Xenopus tropicalis: one gene and its partner. The protein of the gene in region 1 interacts with the protein of each later gene in a biochemical or structural test. Links are inferred from orthologs where the notes say so. Each region holds a gene or a part of one and is shown on either strand. Other genes may lie near its edges.

Region 1 (3,565 bases):
GGCCAATAAAAGCTGCAGATGGTCCGGGTCAGCACATTGTATGAGCCCAACAGCTGTCAATTAGACAAGTATAAAAATCCCTTGGGGCGAAAAGCACATCTGCGCTTCCATGCAGTCCTCGTGGCGATGGCCTGTATTCCATCAATGTGATCTGATATCGCCCACTTCAAGATGGACATGTCAGGGAAAGATCCGCTCCTTTGGCGACCTCACCAAATGAGCCTATGATTAAGTACCATATAGGTACAAAACGTATAAGGCTTTGTAGCATTATGTGTAACTTTTTTGTTTTTACTATAAACTTTTTTGAGCCACTATTTGACGTTCATTTGGAGTTACGGAGTGCCTGCCTTTTTCGTGTTTTGACCTCACCAAATGAGCAGATCTCTCGGTGTATGGGCACCTTTAAAAACTTTACACTTTTTGCAGGTGTAGATCTATTGTCCAAGGGAATTTGTTCTTTTCGCTATCCATGTTAATGAGCAAACCACTGCAGGCTGGGGAGGGGCAGTAGCATGGATAAACCATTCAAAAAATCAAAACCATCTTAAAGTAGTATAGATCATCTTACAACTCAGAACAATTAAGTTTAAAGATGAGGGTTTTGTTTCCTTTTTAACCACATATCCAGCAAAATAAACTAGACTAGTTTCAGACAAATCACTCATCAGTTGCTATGAGCAAATTTGCACAGCGTTGGCATTGTATACCAATAACATGCTTAACTGCACTGCAACTGGGGGTGTAGCCAAGCAATCACAGAACACATAACAACCTGGAAGGGTTACATTGATTTGAAACTTTTATACAAGTCCTGGTCAGTGAAGTATTATATTAAGCATAAAATAATGATCTATGCTATCTGGATTAAATTAACTTAATCATAAACAGTGAAATCCTCCACAGATAACTCTTTCAGCAATACTTAAAATACTTTATAGTTCATACATCTTTTTAGGCATGTGTGCGCTTTTACTTAAACTCACACTCTCTAGTTAAATGGATTAGTTACACAAACAGGAAGCATTTAAGATCAACAGATTTGAATCATGTAGATTCATTAGACACTCTACTTATCCATATTTGCACATCTGTCAACACTGGCTTAGCACAATGTTGATAGATATGTAAAGTACACATTAATAGCTTTAATACTGTACGTAGCTTAGTTGACAGATCTGCAAATAAGTTCAAAAGAGTTTAAATACTTTATAGTTCACTTACTTTTTCGTAGACGAATCCAAGAGCAGTCTTCTACTTTCATCTTCCACATAAGCTCTAATAAAGAGACCTTGCCAAATTTGCCAGAAAAAAAAAGAAAAGATTTTACATTTCTAAGGAAACGGCACTTGTTGTGACTGGAGCCCCATATGAAATCAGGCACTAAACTATTTAAACATTCTCTAACAAACATGTACACTTGCCAACTGCTGCTGTGTTGTTTAAGAAGAGGTAAAAAAGTTGCTTCGGCTGGAACATGTTTTAGCGGCTTTTCATCATTTACAATTTTGTTTTTCATAACTGAGGTATTACTTAAGTCACAAATTGATTTATCCATTTTACATTTATTCTTTTTCTGCAACGCCAGTTTGTGTGAACAAGCCATTGAAGGCCTAACAGGGCAGTGTTTATTCAAATATACCAGATAAGGGAAATTCTTATGGTTCTGTATTAATTCTTGGAAATATTTTCTCATTCTCCAATAACGTTTGGGAAGTTTAGATCTAAAGTTTTCATCCCGTTTTGGCTGGTCAAAATTTTGCTCAGTTAAAAAGTTGTTTAGAAATATGGTTTCCACTAATTTTTGGCTCCCAGAAGGGGTACAGTCTAAACTGTTAAGTATAAAACTTTCAGAGAAGCCCTTCTTGAAACTAATACTTGAATACAATGTTCTTCCAATTTCAATAAAAATATTTGAAAATGAAGTTTTGCTTTGTATTGTAGGGACAGAAGCATTGGTAATAAACGTATTAGCATTATTTTGAAGAGTTACATTAAATTCACCATCAACTGAGTATGAAGTCGATTTTGGACATTGAATTTTTGTTTTTTTTCCATATCTTGAGGTAATAAATTCCGTTGCTTGTACTTTAGCTTCAGGGCACACATTTGAGAAGGAAGAAAGACATGCAGACGTAAAGGAAACGTGGTCCATTTTATCATCTTTGTCCAAGTTGACTCTGCGTTTCTTAGTTGGAATGTCACAAATATCTGTAGTACACATCTTCCTTTTGGAATGTATTTTTGTGGTAACTTTCATAGATGACTCACTACAAATAGGCAATGCTGATGTGGACTTTTTATTTTGCCATGTTAGCATTTGAGAAGTCTTTGAATGTTTTTCTACTTTGCTGTTTAACACCGTTTTCCACCATTTTTTTGGCTTCAGATATTTTTTCCGCAAGAAAAAGGCATTTCTTTTAATGTACTGCAACAAAACATTGCTATGCATAAATGACTGAGATCGAAATGAACACATACTATCATAGGGTAAAGTGTAGATTGGCTGCCCACTGATTTGATAACAACAACTAGGTGGCACAAATACAAAAACTGAGCATTGTTCCAGCCAATACATCATAACATCATCACCTACTCTAGTAAGCAGAGTTTCCCAAAGAATACTTGTGCTGATTGTTGTTGTTGTGGAATTAGGAAAATAACTGCAAATATTTGGAGTCAATCGAATATTCAGAGAGCTATTTTCATCAACTAAGCCATAACCAAAAGCAAGAACATTTTTTCTTTTCTTTTCACAAATCCGCTGAATTACTCGCGCCACTACTTCTCTCTGAGTTGATAGCTAAAAGAAGAAGAGAAAATATATTATGTCTAGGGATGAATGAATTTATAGTATTTTCATGAAATAACTGTTCTTCTACAAATGCTTTCAATGTAATATTGTGGGTAATCAAAAAGAAGTTCTCTTACTTAATGATATAACATTTAAAGGCTAACCTATACAATCATATATTTAAAATAAATAAAACTCATGCAAACTCCTAAGAAAACTGGAAAAACTTATTGACTCGAGTATAAGCCTAGGGAGGGAAATGCAGCCGCTACTGCTAAGTTTCAATAATCAAATAACAGATAAATAAATAATAGATAACTTTAGGTAAAGAAAAATGCTACAGCAGCAGACAAAAGCAAGTTTGGGAAGGCTAAGGAAGCTGCCATACTAATTATCAAGTACTTGCCATCCTGCTGTGTGCTTTGTGCTCGTCCCATTGGTTCTGTGCGCTGTGTGCGCTCCCATCATTAGTGAATTTCCATTACCAAAAATAATTACTTACAAATCCTAAGTAGGCACAGTGCATCATTGGAACTTTTTTATTTCTAAAGATCTGTCCTTAAAAGTTTTTTTTTTTATATTTTTTTAGTGGTCTTTTTATGTGCCTTTTTTAGTGAATGTGTGCCCCACTGTAACGCGCCACGGCTTGATGTGTGTCCCATCGGTTCGGTAATTAGAAGCAGTAACAGAGCACGTACGTCCCTTAATGGTGCAGCGCGTGTCGCGCATGATGGCTTTAAAATCAGAGATCTCGAGTTTTAAACTTTTAGG
Region 2 (4,163 bases), on another chromosome or scaffold:
AACTGGAAGGGTTTGCACCATGTACCTTCCTAACCTTACTGAAAGAGGTCCTGTATTTCCTATGCAGGAAATAGCCCTGTATATAGAGGTTTGTGCCATGTACCTTCTTTACCCTAAAACAGTGATCCTTAACTAGAGGTTTGTAAGCAGCATGTTGCTCACCACCCCCTTTGATGTTGCTCTCAGTGGCCTCAAAGCAGGTGCCCATTCTTACATTTCTGGCTTGGAGGCAAGTTTTGGAAGCATAGAGACATGGATTTACCCCAAGCAGAGCCTCCTGCAGGCCAGCAGCCCACATGGGGTACCAAATAGCCAATCACAGCCCTTAGTTGGCACCCCAAAGAACTTTTTTTCATGCTTGTGTGGCTCCCCAACACTTTATACATCTGAGTGTGGCTCACGAGTGAAAACGTTTGGGGATCCCGGCACTACAACATGAGATCCTTCCTAAAGTGTCCTATACAGGAATTAGCCCTAGTAGAAAGGATAGCTCTACGTACCCTACACCATAAGATCGTGGAAAGTAGCAATCAAGATGACTCGCCCGGTTCCATTCATAGCCGGTCCACAAGCTGCTCTATACAGCTGCAAGGCTCAGCGTCTGTGTACTTCCTGCCTGGACTGTACCACTACCTGTACGGGGGGGAATTTCGACGTCCTTGAAAGTAGGATAATTCCTCCTAGTTTCCAAACAAATTATTTTGGGCTGGTTGGTTTTGAATACAAATGTTAAAGTCACTGATTCGTGTAGTATGTTTTAGGACTGCGATTAAGCATCTACATATGTCAAACCCCTTTGATCCGTCCATGGATGGTTTTTACCTCCACATCGCAAATTCTGACAGCGTAAAACTCTTTAGTGAATGAACTTAAAGGGGTTGTTCGTTATACTTGCAGTCACCCGTATAGGCCTTACCAGGGCTGCAGGGAAATGTAATTAAAAATAGAAAAAGCTGGGAAGCCACAACCCAGGTCAAAAGTGTGTAAGGGGGGGGGCGTCTAATATAGCATGTCAAATATACGATAAGTGAAATGTGTTTCTACTGGGAAGGCGGGGCGGCGAATTGTGGGTTTATATTTATAGTGCCATCCTTGTTCTCATTTCTAAGCACTAATCGTGCAGCAGTAGATACATACAGTAGCCCTGCAACAAGAACGCGGAGGGGCGGAGGGGCGGAGGGGCGGAGGGGCGGAGGGGCGGGGCGGGGCGGGGAAGGAGTGGTGGGGCGGGGCTACCTGGAATATGCAAATACTTTGTTGCTTTGGGAGACGGTGACGTCGGAGGCGGAAGTGGGCAGAAAGTTGCTGAAGTTTCGGGGTGAAGTTACCTGTGAGGAAGGAGGCGGTTTGGGGTGTCAGTGACATGGGGAACTCATCAAGCCATCTCTCCAAACAGCTCATTAATGAATATCAGGTACCGGTGGGCAAGTGCTAGGTACCCGGAAATGAAAGCGGCAGATATGTATTATTCACGCTTGTATTGTGCTGGGCAAGGTGCTAGGGTCTGCTCTATGTTCAGATCGAAATATGCTTCAAAGTGCAGTTGTCTCTTTAGGGGTTGGAGCCCAATATGCCGAGGAAGGTCGGATATCAATGCGCTGAACCGAGAGCTCGGCATGACAAGCGCCTGTCAGGAAACCTTTGGGGGCCGCACAATGCGATTAGGTTTCACATTAACAGCACTCAGCAGCTTTCTATTAGCTAAACCATATGTTGTATTTATAAAATGAACTTTGATGGGCAGATTTATCAAATGTGAGTGTAGAGCTTAATACATAAAAATACACCTACGCCCTATTCCTTCTTGTGGGATTTTTAGAAGTGTATTTATCAAATGGTGAGTTCTAACTTTCACCCATTGCTAAATACGCTTTTAAAAATCCCATAGGAATAAATAGAAGGTTGGCGAGTTTTTATATATTACATTTTGATAAATCTGCCCTAGTGTGTTCAAGACAACAATATTTGGAGACAGTGCCATTGGCTTTTAACTTTAGTTGTGTTGTGTAACATTTTGTTTTAAAGCCTTAAAGGTTATCTGGCTGCTTGGGTTTTATTGACTAGCAACCTGCTACTGGTTTGAATGACAGACTTGAATGACAATTAAATAGAGGGACTGACAATAAAGTAAAAAAGTAATATGACAGTATAACCTGAATTATGTTTTACAGAGGGCAAAACAATTGTGTATAATTGGGAAATTGTAAAAGCAGGGAGATGTTAAAGTATTGTGACAACTGCCTTTACACTTATTTTATTTATAAGTCAAACTTCCATTTATACAGGAACCCGCCAGAAAGAAAACATTTGTTGATTGTATAGAAACATTCTGAAGTAAAACAAAATTTATACGCAGTGTAATTGGCTGAATGCTAGCACTCTAGCTTTCCCTCTGGCTCTGGGGAATACAGTGACAGGAGCCAGAATTACAAGTATGTTTTATTCTAGTCAGGGGTGAAAGTTTTTAGGCACAGCCCTTACCTGGTACTGTAACAGGAACTCCATACAGACAAAACTTTGCTTTAAGGCTTTTGCTGACAAGCATTTCCTTATGCACTTCCCTATGGTGGCTGTTATATGCATTCTGCCTCAAGGGAATGTGTTAGTTAACTCAGACTCATTATTTCCAATAGTAGCTGTGCTATCTAAGCTACACTAAACAGGTGGGACACTGCTTTCTTTTGGTGGATCCATTATCATAGGTTCAGATCTGATATTACTAAAAAATATCCAGAAGGAGAAAGTTGCCTTTAATAGATTGGTCACCACAAAAGCATAATTAGAGATCAGTGTAAAACTCATGTATTTAAAAAGCCGTAATTAAGTTGTGTTGCAGTTTTGTTGCATAAGGAAACAAAAACAATATCCCTTTATGGTGGGGTCACGAAATGAGCAGATCTGTGTTTGATTTGACCACCTGTATTCTGGGCTAAATCAGTTTGATCTGATCGTTTGGTTCCTAGCCCAATGATTATATCATAATGTGCGCCTATACAGAGCCGGCAGGAGAGGGCCACATTAACGTGCCGATATGGCCACTACCCGACAGGATATATAGACCTGCCTATACGTTTAAGCCACGTATCTATTGAATAGGCCATTAGGGAGGGACCATATTCTGGCAAATATGCTTCTGACCCACTGCTTTTTAGAGAACCTGTGCACCACCCAGTATGGAAGCAGAGGAACTATCATGGTTTCTTCTCAGTGTATGTCTGTGTATATGGTGGTAGTCTACATTTTGTTTTTCATTACTGAGTTCATTTTTAAAGTAACTTATTATTTTCATTTTAGGAGCTGACATACCTGACAAAGCAAGAGATAATCTTGTAAGTACTGACCTGCTAGTTTTTCAGTGACTACAGTCATACTGCTGCTGAGAGAAAGAGTGCACAGACCATAAGTGAACTTACAGACTAGAGCAGTGTTGTCAGCTGAAGGCTCATGGGCTAGATTAGATGCTACAAGAGATCTTTATGGTCCACATGTATTTTTGTATGACTGGGGAATTTGTGGGATAACAGCGGGGTTTACTTCCCCTGAGTGGATTATTTGGCCAGTTAAACTCTTCTTAAAGGAAAAGTAACACAAAACATTTTTAAGTAAAAAAAAATCTATTCTACCCTGCCCCCAAATTGCCCTATCCTGCAAACCATTTATTATTTTGAATGCTGTAGTACAAAATACCTGTTAAAAGTTGGCTTCCGGTCATTTGAAGAAAGGCGATGCAGGTGAAGTATCGGGGGAAGTGTCCACTAGGGCAATTATTGGGGCAGGGTAGAATAGATTTTTTACTTAAAATTTTTTTGTGTTACTTTTCCTTTAAAAAGTTATTCATTTTCTAAAGGTCAGGTTTCTGTGGCTGGAATGAGATCATAAACACAACCATAGTGATACCTAACTTATTCTGTTTCCTTGTTTACTGGATAAAGTACCAATAGTTACTTGCTGCTAAATACTGTTGCTTCATTATTTCTGTTTCCTTTTTTTGTAACAAAGGGTCATAGTGCACAAACCTGTGTTGTTAGACTTTAGTTTCTTAACAACTATAGGCTTTCAAGACAAAGAAGTTAGTCATCAATACAAGTATAGGATCTATACTCTGGAATGCCTGGACTTTTCCAGCCAAGAAATAATTTCATAATGTGGAACCGCATGCCTAA

What was found.
Region 2: the proteins of tert (region 1) and cib1 form a complex in vitro, tested with the Homo sapiens proteins (2 studies listed by BioGRID). The link is inferred for Xenopus tropicalis from reciprocal best matches to the Homo sapiens genes TERT and CIB1.

What each region holds. Positions count from the first base shown.
Region 1 is NC_030682.2:58,817,850-58,821,414, forward strand, and holds part of tert (telomerase reverse transcriptase), read right to left. Parts: intron 2,804-3,565; coding exon 1,225-2,803; intron 1-1,224. UniProt on the Homo sapiens protein: Telomerase is a ribonucleoprotein enzyme essential for the replication of chromosome termini in most eukaryotes. Active in progenitor and cancer cells. Inactive, or very low activity, in normal somatic cells.
Region 2 is NC_030679.2:108,225,636-108,229,798, forward strand, and holds the start of cib1 (calcium and integrin-binding protein 1), read left to right. Parts: upstream 1-1,339; 5' UTR 1,340-1,363; coding exon 1,364-1,414; intron 1,415-3,294; coding exon 3,295-3,329; intron 3,330-4,163. UniProt on the Homo sapiens protein: Calcium-binding protein that plays a role in the regulation of numerous cellular processes, such as cell differentiation, cell division, cell proliferation, cell migration, thrombosis, angiogenesis, cardiac hypertrophy and apoptosis.